Astyanax mexicanus: one gene and its partner. The protein of the gene in region 1 purifies or fractionates together with the protein of each later gene. This does not show direct contact. Links are inferred from orthologs where the notes say so. Each region holds a gene or a part of one and is shown in the gene's direction. Other genes may lie near its edges.

Region 1 (7,676 bases):
TGAATATTGACCTCACAACATATTGTTATTCATTTAGTAAATAATTTACTGCCTTGAGAAGCCAAATTTAAACTAGGCAAAAACTAAATATTGCCCCATAAATAATTGTGCTAAACAATATTATTGTCATTTTAAGACCATTTAATGCCACTAATATAATGACATAATAATTTCATTGCATAAAATTACAATTATATGAACTTTTAAGTCTAATTAATTAATTAATTTTAATGGATGAATATAATTAAACCACTCTTTTTTTAAAGGAACATTCCAGCCATTCACATTAATTGTTTTCGCTAAGAAAAACATAATATAATGTGATTCCTCTCTAAATAAAATAATTGAGGTTGTGCAAATATATTGTAGGGTGTTGTGGTAGGCCTAATATGTACTAATATAAAAATAAAACATATGTTTATATTTAATTAAGTTAAAATTCCTGATAAAGGTCAGCGCACAAATTTTATTTTGACCACTTCTGGTACTTTTTGACCACTCTGTAAACTGACCATGTCTAGACCATTTCTGACCATCAACTATACTGTGTAGCCACCACACATATTACTATTTTAATTTATGATAATAATAATCATTATTATTATTATTATTATTATTATTATTATTATTATTATTATTTACACTTTTGAGTGTTGTTATTTGTCTGTTTCATTTCTTATATTTTCATTTACCTCATAACATATTGTTATTTATTTAGGAAATAATTCACTGCCTCGTGAAATCAAAAACTTAATTGAAACTTAATTCTGACTGGGAGCATTTAATAAACGTTTACAAACAGTTATAGTTAATAAAAACAGCACAAAATATAGCCTGACTGTTTGTTGTTGTTGTTGTTTTTTAGTTGAACGCTAAATTCCTCATTCACTTTCACTGTAACGTTAGTGGTGGTACTTACTTAAAGTAAAGCCAGTTGTGCTAAAAACTACTTTTTGAAGCAGTATTAAAGGAATAAAAACAGTGGTCTCTGTTGATACACATTTTCCTATTTTTTGTTGTACTTTTCCAGGAATGAGGTCAAACAGGTTGAGTTACCTCCTCACCCAGTCAGTAAAAACCAAACCAAACCAAACAAGCCCACTCAAAACCGCCAGACTACAGCTGTCCAGGTTTAACACTTTCTTTACTGTAATAAAGTTTAATAACCAGAAACGGCTGAAACCCCGGGCCCCGGTAAGGGCAGGTCTCTGGCCGGCTCACCTCCGTGCGGAGCTCCGTGTTTCCAGGTGGAGCTTTCGCCTCCTCCGCGCTCGGCATCTCCCCAGGGGCAGCGGCGCTCGAGCCTTTCTTCTGATGCTCGCTGTTACATGGCTCCGGTAAAGGCTTCATCGAGGCGGCGGAGCAGCTTCACAAACACGCGCCCGTTCAGGACCCGCCGGACTAACAGTGATGAACCACCGCGAGAAAAGTTACATTCCGCCCCACAAACTCACAGCAGCCCGGCAGCAGCAGCAGAAGCAGCGCAGGTGTACAGTTCAGCTCGCCATGTTTGATCCTGGGGAGGGGAGGAGACAAAAAGAGAGAGAGAGAGAGAGAGAGAGAGAGGTGAGAGGAGGAACCTCTCTCTCCTCACCCCTATAAACAGGCCATTATACACCTGAGCACACCCACTCCTCCTATACAGCATTCCTTCTTCCTATCTATCTATCTATCTATCTATCTATCTATCTATCTATCTATCTATCTATCTATCTATCTATCTATCTATCTATCTATCTATCTATCTATCTAATTTTCCTGTCTATATGTCTCCCTGCCAGTCTACCTGTCTGTCGCTTAATTTGTCTTAATTTATCTCTCGGTTTTCTATCTGCCTGGATCTATATCCATCTTCCTGTCTGTCTATTTGTTAGTTTGTCCATCTGCTTGTCTGCCTATCTATCTGTTAATCTTCCTACATATCTGTCTGTCTACATTTCAGTCTTTTCAGTCAATCTGTCTGCCTATGTGTCTCTTGCCTGTCTATTAATTTGTCTTAATTTATTTGTCAGTTTTCCATCTGCCTGTATATCCATTTATATACATCTTCCTGTCTATTTGTTAGTTTGTCTACATGTCTTTCTGTCTACCTGTTGTCAGTCTATCTGCCTGTCTATTAATTTGTCATTAATTGTCATTTATCTGTTGGTTTTCTGCCTGTATATCCATATGTCTGCCTGCTTATCTGTCTGTCTGCCAATTACAGTCTTTAAATAAACTTCAAATAACAAAAAGACAAGTTTATATATGCTGTGTAAATAACCAAAGAATTAAATAAAGAAATAAAGGAAGCCTTTTTCCTGGTATAAAAAACACAGATCTCTCTTAAAAGCTGCTATATGCCGCTTTTCTTCTGTTTGACTGATATGTGTTGCACAGCATTTTGCTCTCGTTTCCACAGGAAGCCACGCAGGAAACTGCAACTTTGCTAGTATGAAGTATAGGCCAGTGACTGTATAGACCATGAGTTAACACCTAATTCTAAAAAAAAACACAAAAGATTAGATATCTCACATTAAACACTGTAGTGTATTGTACATTCTGATGCATCTTGTTTTTTTCTTGTTTTTTTTTTTTTACTTTAATGCAGTGTTTGTGTGTTTAGTTGCTGGCTATGTGAATGTTTTGTTTGATGTATTAGTGCAGTACACTTGTACTTGTTTGTCTACAATTACTTGAACTCTAGTCTATTCACATATTTTCTGCTAAAGGCCATAAGTGCCAATGTTGCCATTTTAAATATATAATTTCTCTAAGTCATATTAATCTTTAAGTGTGTTTTATTAGTTTTGTATGTTGTGTAATTATGTTCTGTAGTGACAGTTAGTAATTGCATAAAGGTTCACACTGTACTTTATGACTGTGTGTTTTGTTGTTTCTAGGTGATGCTCAGACAGGTTCCTCCTTCTCTGTGGGAAGTGTGTGTGTGTGTGGGGGTGGTTCTGTTGTTCAAAAAGACTGCTCCTCCTTCTGCGAAGAAGGAAGTGTGTGTGTGTTTGTGTGTGTGTTTGTGTGTGAGTGTGTGTGTGTGACCCTGTGGGAGTGGTTTTGTTGTTCAGAGAAACTCCTTCTCCTGTCAGAAGATGGTCATGTGGGAGTGGCTAAAATATTCACATGAACTCCTCCTCTTCTTGGCATCAGTTTCTCCAAAACACAAAGAAGGAAGAGGTGTAAAAAAGAGGAAGAAGTGTTCAGAAACATTCAGAAATGCTGTTACCAGGTAGGAAACCAGTCATATCTGAGTCAGTGTGCAGTATTTTAGCATTCCTAATATAATATAGTCAGATGATAAAACACACACTATTATTGTATATAATACTTATATACAATAATAATATACATTTAAACAATATATCTGATACATCTGGCTATTCTGGGCCTGTCATTTGCTTTTTTCTTTTTAAATTCTAGTATTTAACAGAATAGTAAAAAAACATTTTAAAGATATTTAAACTGTTATGTTACCAGATAAAACAGCTGCAACAACAAATTAAGTGCAGGATACAAATATATTACATGTGTATTATTATGTAACATATTACATGTCCAGATAAAAATATTAGGTTCGTTATTTAGGTTCAAACACATAAGAGAACAGAAATGATGAGAAATGTACTGACAGTTAATGTCAAAATAATAAAATATATGTTATATGATGTATATAAACATCAATATAAAAATCTCAAGGATTTTTCTTTTTATTTTGCACTGAGGGACTTAGTATTAGTTGTGGTGTTGCTTTGTAAAATATGAAGAAGGAACAATGGTTGTGTCAGTTTGTATACCCTACCCCACTCCAGCTCCTGACACACACACACACACACACAAACACACACACACACCCGCCAATCTCACTCACATCGAGTTTTGCCGGTTTTCAAATTTCCCGCCACATAAAATACCATCTGCTTCCGCCACGCAGAAAACAGAAAGAAGTCCGGTCTCTTTTATTTTAGTATTTTTTTTTTTTTAATTTTTATTATAAAATAGTATTTAAAAATTGTTTATATAAAAACAATGCACAGTATGATTACTAATCAATACTAATTACTAATAAATTACTATAAACAAATAAACAAAACGGCAAATTTCAAAAATGTAATTTCTTATTAATTCTTATTATCAAGTATGTTTAAAAATAGTTAAGTCTCACATTACAGTATATATTGCATTAGCGTATAAAAATCGTTCCCAATAATAACTCACATGGGTACACAAGTTAGCTATATTGAAGCGATTTTTATCGCCCTCTCCTTCTTTTGTTTATTTTTATTTTTTTGAAGCAAGTGTATTTGTCTGTTTGTGTTAAACTTTTTTCTGCAAGAGACTAATACCTACTTATACGTACATCTGCTGTTTTTATAGCACCATCCACATGTTTACAATATGCATTACAAAGCAAAAGTAGCCATGTGGACTCTTTAATGTCCACAAGCCTAAATCTTTCTCAACAAACATAAAATATATTATCTCACAATAAATAACACACTACAACATAAATATTCCAAAGACTGGAAGAATGATAAATAGTAGGTCACCTTCACTGTTTTTAGAATTTATCTAATCCAGTAAAGCTGCCAGTGGCTGCAGATCAGGATGTCCCGCCCCCAGCCCTCCTCTGATTGGTCCTCGCAGTTAAGCATGGAGGTTTTCTGTCACGGTTTGAAGACATTCGCGCTTTATTTCTTGCATCAGCTGGTCAGTGCTGGACGGCAGGCCCAAGCTAGTAGTTAGATACACAGTACCTCTGTTATAATAGTCATTTTTGTACCAGTTTTGCACTTTTCCTTACAATATAAGTAAACATGTACGTCCTCAAGCGAGGTGAGTGTGTTTTTGCCTCTTATTTTGCCTCTTATCTAATCTGGTTAGGTTAGCTGTGTTAAATAGCCCTATATTAATCTTTATGCTTTAAATAGCCAACTAACTGACATTTTATATAGCTAGTAATGTATGTTTTATAACAGTTAATATAAGTGAGCTAGCTAACGTTATTTTGGCAGTGAACTTCTATATAGTTAGCTAGCTATATATGTTTGTAGCTTTACTGTAGTCCTAGCTTTGCTTTCTGATATATTTACTCTATTAGCTCTGTTTTAAACCTGTGTTTACTGTTGTTAAATCCAGACAAGTGGTTTAAATGATAAATATAGTTAGGTTAATTATAGTTGTGTGAAGTTCCCAGTAAAGAAAGCTAGATAGCTAACCTAGGTTAGTTAGCTCCAGCAAATATTCAGAATAAAGTCTCCGGTTTATCCACTATTCACATGAACAGCTAATAAATCCGTTAAATATTATTTATGCTAAATAAAACATGCATTTAGATGACAGTTATATAGCTAACTTCGCTATATTATCACCATTGTTCCTGTATGCTGCAGTACTCCTCCTTTGTTGTCAGTGTGGTTGGCGCCAAATAGCCTGTTGGCCGAGTTCGTTAGCTAGTTAACTGGCTAATCCCTCTCACTTCAAGTTAATTTAGCACAAGATAATGTCTTATTTTCTAACCTTTGCGCCTTTAAATGCTAAATTAACTTAAATACCTTGTATTTAAAGCTTTGGTGGTAAGGTACTGAGCTTGGGAAAAACTTTGACAAGTTCTCAGCATAAAGGAAAAAAAACATATAAAAACAAACTTCTTTAAAATCTGATTGCGGTACACACCCTTAACACATTTTGCAATCTTGTAATTATAATCATGTTTGCTGCAAAACAAGTGAATACTAAACTAGAACAATAAGGTCTCCATGTTTGACCTAGTTTGGTTCGAAGCAAGCTAGACACACACCTAAACGCTACACACATACAGAAAATTAAATTTGTTCAGTGTAACAGAATTTGTAAATACAATCTTAAGAGTTCTTGACTTTTTATTGTTTATATGGTACTGTTTATTTTATATAATATTTTTATTTTTTAAAATAATACATTTATTTTATACTGAGTGCCTTGCTATCACTTTTCTGTTGTAGTACTGTGAATTTGCCCACTGTGTGACTAATAAAGGATTTTCTTATCTTATCTCTTATCTTAGATTGCTAGCTTGGTCAATATTGACTATTGATACAAAACACAACTTTTCTAAGGTTCTGTATTACTAAAAATGCCTATTTTCTATTTGCAGATGGACGCCAGGAGCGTGTTATGTTTGACAAAATTACCTCACGTATCCAGAAGCTCTGCTATGGACTCAACTCTGACTTTGTTGATCCTGTATGTATAGGCTATTTATTCTTTGTGAGATTTTTGTATCGTTCTACAACCTCAAAACCTGCATACTGACATTGCAATATGTTCACAGCTTTAGACTGTCTGATCTGTTTAATAGAATTTCTTTTTTATTATTATTATTATTAAAACATGTTTACAATGTGTTTTAACAATATGCCTTTCTGCTGTTGTGTTTCCAGACTCAGATAACAATGAAGGTGATCCAGGGCTTGTACAGTGGGGTGACCACTGTAGAGCTGGACACCTTGGCTGCAGAGACCGCTGCTACCCTCACCACTAAACATCCTGACTATGCCATCTTGGCAGCCCGTATTGCAGTGTCTAACCTGCACAAGGAGACAAAGAAGGTATTTAGTGGTAAGTAATCTGACCGGCTTGGTGTATATTTCCTGCAGAGTTCCAGAGGTTTGTTATACATTACTTGCGGAAAAAAAATATATATATTTTGTGTTTTTGCTTTTTGCAGAGGTTATGGAGGACCTTTACAACTACGTTAATCCTCTTAATGGACGACACTCCCCAATGATCTCCAAGGACACCCTTGACATTATCTTGGCTAATAAGGATGTAAGAATGATAAAGCATTTATTGTTTTTCTTTTGATCTGTAAAGGTTTTTTTTTTTTCCCCTAATACCTAGTTTTCCTTGGTTCTTTCCACAGCGCCTCAATTCAGCCATCATCTTCGACAGGGACTTCTCTTACAACTTCTTTGGTTTCAAGGTAAATTGAGTCTTGAAAATAACTTCTAATGAATATTTGATGTGCTCTGCCTAATTATTAAAAACAAATTTGATAGTTATTCTACAAATTACTCACCTCAACTGAATGTGTGTTCTTTCTTTAGACTCTGGAGCGGTCGTATTTGCTCAAGATTGATGGAAAGGGTAAGTTATTTGAATAAATGTTTTACTGATTCCTGAAGACTTCTCTAAATATGAGCAATGTCAAATGTTTATTGCTCACTGTCTTTTTGCATCTGGTTTTAGTTGCAGAAAGGCCACAGCACATGCTGATGAGGGTAGCAGTTGGGATCCATAAGGAAGATATTGCTGCTGCTATTGAGACCTACAACCTGCTGTCTGAGAAATGGTTCACCCACGCTTCTCCTACACTCTTCAATGCAGGCACTAACCGGCCTCAGCTCTCCAGGTATACACCAGAGGGAGACATATTGCTGTTGATGAAACATGTTGAAATATGCCTGCATTTCAGAGTTTGGACATAAGAGGGCAGTTCAGTAAAATAAACAAAGCTATAAACTGTAAAGTAAAACAAGTTTTGAAAGTTGTGTTCCTAAAGGTTTAGACTGTTTGTCGTTAAGCCTGTTTGACCTCTTTCTGTAGCACTTGGGTGCAGGAGACTTATATAATCCTTACATGTAATGAGGTTTTTGTATAATATATTCAGGTATAATTATCATGATTTTTTTTTCCTTCCTTTTTCC
Region 2 (7,581 bases), on another chromosome or scaffold:
GTTTTTTGTGATCAGATTCATGCTGCTATTAGGCCTTTGCTGGAGGCCTATTTCCCTGTTATGTCTGGAGTGCGCGTCATTGCTGAGCCAGGAACTTTTTATGTGTCTTCCTCTTTCACCTTGGTTGTAAATGTCATTGGAAAGAAAGTGGCAGCAGGCAGTCTTCATGTTGAGACTAAAGGTGCGTACATTCTGTCACTACACACCAGTGGATATTAAATGCCACTATTATATAGTCTGTAGTATTTTTTATTTTTGAGTTTTTTATATTTCTGTGAAATCATCTGCAGATTTGACTCCAAGCGATGAGCCAGAATTTTTGTACTATTTAAATGATGGTGTCTATGGATCTTTTATGGGAAAGCTGTTGGGAAACACCATTCCATCCCCCAAGGTACACAAGGTATGGACACTCAACACACAGAACCATATACATGCAAAATTGGTTTTACTACCAGATCTGGTCGTTTGAGTATGTGTTTTTTTTTGTTTTGTTTTTTTCCCTCAGATGTCACTTGCAGCAGATGAGCCGATGTTCCCCAGCAGCTTGTGGGGTCCCTCTTGTGACGCATTGGACCAGGTGGTGGAGCACTGCCTTCTCCCTGAGCTCACTGTGGGAGACTGGCTGATCTTCAACAATATGGGGGCCAGTGGTCAAGAGGAGTCCGCAGCCATCAATAACTCAGACAAGCCACCTGTGTATTACACTATTTCTACAGACGACTGGTAATTACAAACATAATGGATACTGTGCTTTTTCTGCTCTCTTTTCAGGCTTGTTGTTTACTTGTTTTAGTACATAATACATTAAATGTATAACAAATTATGATGTCTGGACACATCTGGTCATTATGTAAATTAAACACACTATAACTATTTTTTTAACCAAAACTTAAACAAAAATTAAAGTTAAGTAGTTATTAAAAGTCACATTTATCTATGTACTTTCTGTCTTTCAGGTTTGAGATGCAGGAGGCTGGAATCTCTCTTGACAACACAATGAGGAATTTTTCCTTGGTCCAGTATTGCTTGTAATTGGATAAAATCTGAAGCTGACCCCCTAACTTGGGCATTTCAAGTCAAGTGGTCAGAATTTAAATGGCCTGCATAGTGAACATTCCAGCAGCTATGGGTGGGGACAACAATGTGTAGCCACTAGTAAAGGAACAAGACCAGTGGCATTGGGATCACACAATAAATTATCCTTATCTAATTTTTTCACAATTTACTGATTGAAATGCTCGTTTTCCTTGCCCACCATAGGAATGAGTCCAGGAGCCCCATGTTTATTAACAACATATGCAACAAAATGGACGACTGTGGAGATGGAATCCAGTCATTGGGTTTCTTAATCAAGAATCGTTTACATAAGTGTTCAATTAATTTAATTCTATATTGATTACCTGCTGACAGTCTTGTAAATGAGTTGTCTATTGCTCCATTATGCACTTGTCTATATTAAAATCTGATGTGATTTTAATGAGTTTAGATTCTAGTATCAGACGTGTTGCAACCCTTTGTGTAGATTGACAGAGTGGAAATTTTGATATTGATTTGTTATATCAAAGCTTCTCCATCCTAGTCGACCCTGGGTTTTTAGAACTGTGGAGTGCACCTTTGGTTGTGTCTTCAGTACATGGATTGTGACAGTATTTCCCTGTATTAATATGTACTGTCCCTTGGCTTTATGTACTGTGTTTGACTTTGTGGCCTAAAAAGGCTTATAGAATGAGAACTATAGGGTCACACCAGTATACTGTACAAGTACCAAGGACATATGCCTGATATTAAAGAAACCTTTTAGAACTGGGACTTGGGGAAAGTGGCTTTATATAGCATTTGGGTAGGGAAAGAAGGTGACTTCAAGCGAAATGTGCAAGTGCCTGAGGCAGTGTGCTCAAACTACCAGTAACAGTCACCATAAGCGCTGCAAGATTCATGCTATTAATCTCTGACAGCTCCTCTCAGGCTTCTCACAATAAATAGCTGTTTTAAAGATTTGATCATATTTTTCATTGTAAGTAAAACCAACTTACCTAAATGGCTTTTGTCTCCATAACTAAAATGTAATGATTATGGAGTGAAAAACATCTAACACAATATAGTCTGATATGTATATAATATGAGCCCAGGCTATGCTTGTATCATTTTCCCTGAAGAAACAATACTTTGGGACCAGCAGAGGAGTTAAAAAAAAGGTGCCAGATGAGGTGTATTTTGTAATGTAGTACAACAATGAAACATTTGATCATATCTTCTTGTGCTGTTTACCTTCCAAAAGGCTTTGTTAAATGTCTTTTGATTTAAAAATTTATAACACCCCTCCATTTAATGAAATCACACCCTTTAGCGATGTAATGTAAAATATTTTTGTCTGAGGCACTAATGGACCATAGCCTGTTTTTGACTGTAATATTGTGTTGTAATGAAATATATTAACTTAATACACTTCTTTGACTCATAATACTCAGTTTCTTTCATTTGTTATAGTGTTTCAGATAGTATAAACTTAATAAATCAACTCTACAGCAACATCTTGTGCGCCCTACACTTTGGGACAGAGAAGGTATACATTTTTATGGTGTACCTTTCTAGCTAGGCCTGTAATTAATTTTGTACAGCCATTGCACCCAAAGAAAAGTCCCATTCCAGGTTTGATACATCAGCCAACATAGCATTATATTGTGAGTGATGGGGGCGAGAACACCATCTGCCCCCTCTTGGGCTCCGGCTGCTAATATCGAGGCAGCACTCCTTGTACTACCTGCAACATGTTTTAAATACTGTTGCTACACACTGCCCTATTTTCCTATATGATGGATTTAACTGCTGCGCACAGACAGAGCCCCATATCGGCCTAGACAGACAAGACTGTCTAAAATCAGAGAACAAGTACTGGTCTTTTCTATTTTTATGTAGACAAAACTCAAAGTAAATGTGTCTCATGTTCATACATTGTTTGATTGATAATGTAAATATTAAAACAGGTTTAACTGTAGCTACAGTCAGGCACGAAGAATAAAAATTAGTCTTTGAAGCTTTGAGTGAAAAGCACTTTCCAGACATTGAGTATATGTGCTGTATTACCGGACTTAGTGTCTTTATCCAGTGGCTGAAGATCTTTATTAATTGACAGTGGTTTATGTTAAAAACCTTCAGTTTTGTGTTTATTTTTTGATATGTCCATCTATCTTCTCAGTTTGATTAATTTATCCATAAAACATGAATCAGAACTCTGCACTCTCATTTCTGCAAACGTCTGGCCCTTTGGTTTTTATAATTCCACTCATAACAGGATGAGGTGTAGGCTGTTTTTCATTCACAAATCAATAATGTGCGCAGTAGATTGAAGTTGTACTTTGGATGATTTCAGGAGCTGATAAGATCCTTCCTCAATCAATTATAGTTGTTTCTTTCAGTCAGCCTCATTAAGGACAAAGGCCAAAAGCAAGAATATGAACCACAGCTCTGTCACATGCTCATTCAGTAATCATTTAACTCTTCAAAAAGGACACTTGCAAAACAGGGCATAAGCAATAAAATGTTACACTTTTTATCTCTTAAAACAGATTGTTTGTTAATTAGGCCGTTATCGCTGTCTTTAACACACACTATATTTTATTGTAGTGTATACCTTGCTCAAAAAGCATGGCTACAACACATTGTAATTGAATGGGTTGGGCTAAATATATGTAATTATGCTAGTACCCTGATATGGCATTTGTTTTATTAAATTAAAGTGTGATACTTATTAAACTGAGGGGACAAACTGTTAAATTAAGGTATTAGTAGAGGTGGGTGATATGGCCCTAAAATAATATCACGATATTTCATGGTATTTTCGTGATAATTGTACTCTTGCCGATATAAATTAATGATTTTTTTTTTTCAAGAATACACTACTGCATCAAAATGAAAATTTTATTTAATTATTGCATACGATTTATGTCACACCCCTTCCTTAGATATTAAAAATTACAAGAATTTAATCAGACTTGTAATAGAGGTCAATGCTGCAGAATGCCATGATACTAATAATGCACTCCAGATATCTCCATATATCCAGGGTTAAAGTAAAATAAATGATACTTGACAGATATAATCTGTCTCTAGTAGATTTATAATGGGAAATGAGAACCGTGTGAATTTTTCTTTTGCTAAAAACAGGTAGAAGAAGTAGAACCCTGATATGGAATTTGTTTTATTAAATTAAAGAAAAAGTGTGATAATTATTAAACTGAGTGGACAAACTGTTAAATTAAGGTATAAGTGTTTATAGTTTGGGAATATTTTATTATTTTGAGGGAACAAATTATTCCCTTGAGGAATGTATTAAAATAAAGGAACAGTTATTAAATGTAAGGTATGATTTATTCAGCACAGGGTCTGTTAGGGTTGTGTTTCTGTTAGCTCAGTGGTTCTCTGGTTGAAGTCCTCCTGTGCGGTTCTCTGTGTGGCCGGAGGGGGCGCTGTGCTGAAGCCTCTCGCCGTTGTTTTGCCTCAGTGTTTTTATTCACTCGCCTCAGATGACAGGGACGGTAGTAACACTGTCATAGCGGCGCATCTGTAATGGACACCAACATCATGAACGTGGGGACGGACGACGGGCCATATCAGGTAATAAGAGCAGGAGCTGCTCGCCGTCCTGCGGACCGTGTGATTAAGCCAGGGTTAGCTAGGTTAGTGGTGTTAGTGTGGTCACAGTGTGCAGTTGTGCGACCTTTCATAATAAAGAGCAGAATGAGGACCTTACACAACCCCCGGGGTTTATTAGTGTACCTGTAGCTAAATCTACAGTTATATAAAACACACATTATTACTGTGTGAGAACAGCTGTCTGTCTGAATGCTGTCATCCGGCCTGACAGCACACGTAGTTAGGCTCTTAGATAACTAGTTTGTGTTATTTAAGCTCGAATGGGGTAAAAATAGATTGTTTAGATAATGTCGAGGCCGTGTCCGACTGAACAGGACCAGGAATACTTACTGTACAATTTTAACGTGTTTTAGCTGTCCTTGTTTCGTTTTAAGACTCTTAAACCTTTAAATAAAGACTAATATAAACTACCACTGAGTGACCACAGACCGTCCCTTTAAATTCTCTGGCAAGGAAACCTGTCTTCACCACACCGACTGGCTCCCCCTACTGCTGCCTCCACACCTAACCTTATATACTATCAGCTCTGGAAAAAAAAACTAAGCGACCACTTAAAATGATGAGTTTCTTTGATTTTTACCAAATTAAAAACCTCTGGAATATAATCAAGAGGAAGATGGATGATCACAAGCAATCAAACCAAACTGAACTGCTTGAATTTTTGCCCCAGGAGTGGCATAAATTATCCAAAAGCAGTGTGTAAGACTGGTGGATGTGAACATGCCAATATGCATGAAAACTCTGATTAAAAACCAGGGTTATTCCACCAAATATTGATTTCTAAATATTAAAAACTTTAGAAATATAAAATTGTTTTCTTTGCATTATTTGAGATCTGAAAGCTCTGCATCTTTTTTTTGTCATTTCTGTCATTTCTCATTCTCTGCAAATAAATGCTCTAAATGACAATATTTTTATTTTATATGTTATTTGGGAAAAATGTTGTCCATAGTTTGTAGAATAAAACAACAATGTTCATTTTACTCAAACTTTTACCTATAAATAGCAAAATCAGAGAATCTGATTCGGAAACTGAAGTGGTCTCTAAATTTTTTTTCAGAGCTGTATATTAAATGGCAGTTTCTCAGACAGAGATAAAGCCTGGTCTTGAACTTGAACTTTTAGCAGGGCAAGCATGATCAAAATCAAATAATCAGCTAAACTAGCTTATTATAATAAGGTACATTTTTGTCTGGATGACCATTAAGGACCAGTTAAGACCATCCAAAACCAGCTACCCACAAAAGCTGATCTTGAGCTTGTTTTTTTTTTTTTTAGCAGGGCAATCATAGGCTACATTCACATTACCAGGCTGAAGTGACTCAAATCAAATTATTCATGACTTTCATATGTGGTCATAAATCGGATACGTGTCCGATCCATGGACATGCAACATGAATGCAAATGGTCAAATTTCAGAATTCGTTGTGTCTTTTTGCTTTTACGCATGCGCAACGTGCTTCTCTCTCATACCCACACACCTCTTGGTGCAGCTGTGCAGCTATAGCTGCAAAAACAGCAAAATCAAACCGCCTGTTCTTTTTTTCACCTCCTCAACCTGAGCATGAACTTCAGACCAGCTGTTTTCTCTCCACTCGAGCAAAAGATGCTCCACATATGAGCTGCTAACGCATTTATTTCCCTTTATAAAACTACAAGTTGTCTCTCAAATATGAATATTGGTGAAGAAGGTGATGTTTATACACGTTTAAATTTGGGCATGTGAGGCGTTTTAGGAAAAGTTTTACAGATACAGGTCACTTACATTTGTCAATGTGAACCGTCAAAATGGCCAAACCCGATCTAAGTAAAAAAATCAGATTTGAGCAATAGGGCATGTAATGTGAACGTAGTCATAGACTATATTTTCCTTTTAGTAAAAAAAATCTCCATTCAGAAATGCAATGTAGTCCAAGTCTAGCCCTAATCCCTGTCTGGGAACCTGATCCATAGTTTTAGAGTAAAACAAGTTTTTGTAAAAACGAAGGCTTAAAATAATGTAGCGCTTTTATAAAAAGAGATTTAGACCCGTTCAAAATTATGTGGAACTAATTGGTTTTGTTTGTCAGAATGGCCACAAAGACGTGGATCCCCAGAGCACAGAAGATGAGCCGCTCCTCAGAGAAAACAAAAGAAGATTTGTCATCTTTCCCATCCAGTACCCAGACATCTGGAAAATGTACAAACAGGCCCAGGCCTCCTTCTGGACAGTAGAAGAGGTAAGTGTGTGCTTAATTTGATTTGGGTTTGTTCCAAAGGTAGATATTACATAAAATACATCTGAAAATATTGACATTTAAGGCAACAATAACATAACACATGACCTAACATTCACACCAAGTGTCCTGATCTCAGATTGGTCTTAGTTGTTTCTGGGCTATCCTATAAATGATAGGGTGTTATTTTATTATTTTCCTAGTTATTAGTACTGTTAACAACAAATAATGATTCCATTTTTAGTGAAAGATTTCAAACACTACATTAAAACCTGTCAGTCATTGCTGACCACACCAGTGCAACAGCTGTTTATCATCAATGTGGTGGAGTTCTTGCCTCATTGCATAAACATGTATTGGAGTTTCTCTCAAAACAAACAGTTAAAGTAGATAATGAAGCACACATTGGATTTCCAGTGATGAGTAAATGCTGACTGGTTGTAAAATGTGTAGATAAAATACCTTGACTGAAGTAGTGCCAATGTAAGCAGTTTAAATTATCTAAAAGCCTTACCCACAGCAGTGTCTGACATAGGTCCTACCTTAAGCAGCCATCTTTGCTCCTGCTTTAAAAGGGTAGGCTCCTCCCCCCCAATTACTTCAGCCACTTTAGACCCTCATTGGTTAGTGATCCTCCTGTGCATTATGAAGCTTAGCAAGTACACCAATGGAGGGAGACCAGAGAAAAAGCCATTCTTGCACATAATAA

What was found. The genes of interacting proteins can lie anywhere in the genome.
Region 2: the proteins of rrm1 (region 1) and rrm2b purify together in Homo sapiens (affinity purification with western blotting; 3 studies listed by BioGRID and IntAct, counting the BioPlex papers as one, with this or other methods). This does not show direct contact. The link is inferred for Astyanax mexicanus from reciprocal best matches to the Homo sapiens genes RRM1 and RRM2B.

The regions. Positions count from the first base shown.
Region 1 is NC_064424.1:10,477,024-10,484,699, forward strand, and holds the start of rrm1 (ribonucleoside-diphosphate reductase large subunit), read left to right. Parts: upstream 1-4,666; 5' UTR 4,667-4,805; coding exon 4,806-4,824; intron 4,825-6,124; coding exon 6,125-6,213; intron 6,214-6,410; coding exon 6,411-6,588; intron 6,589-6,697; coding exon 6,698-6,798; intron 6,799-6,892; coding exon 6,893-6,952; intron 6,953-7,076; coding exon 7,077-7,116; intron 7,117-7,218; coding exon 7,219-7,381; intron 7,382-7,676. Other genes in the region: slc6a7 (sodium-dependent proline transporter), read right to left, coding at 1,222-1,350. UniProt on the Homo sapiens protein: Provides the precursors necessary for DNA synthesis. Catalyzes the biosynthesis of deoxyribonucleotides from the corresponding ribonucleotides.
Region 2 is NC_064410.1:43,457,199-43,464,779, forward strand, and holds the start of rrm2b (ribonucleoside-diphosphate reductase subunit M2 B), read left to right. Parts: upstream 1-4,476; 5' UTR 4,477-4,569; coding exon 4,570-4,617; intron 4,618-6,725; coding exon 6,726-6,875; intron 6,876-7,581.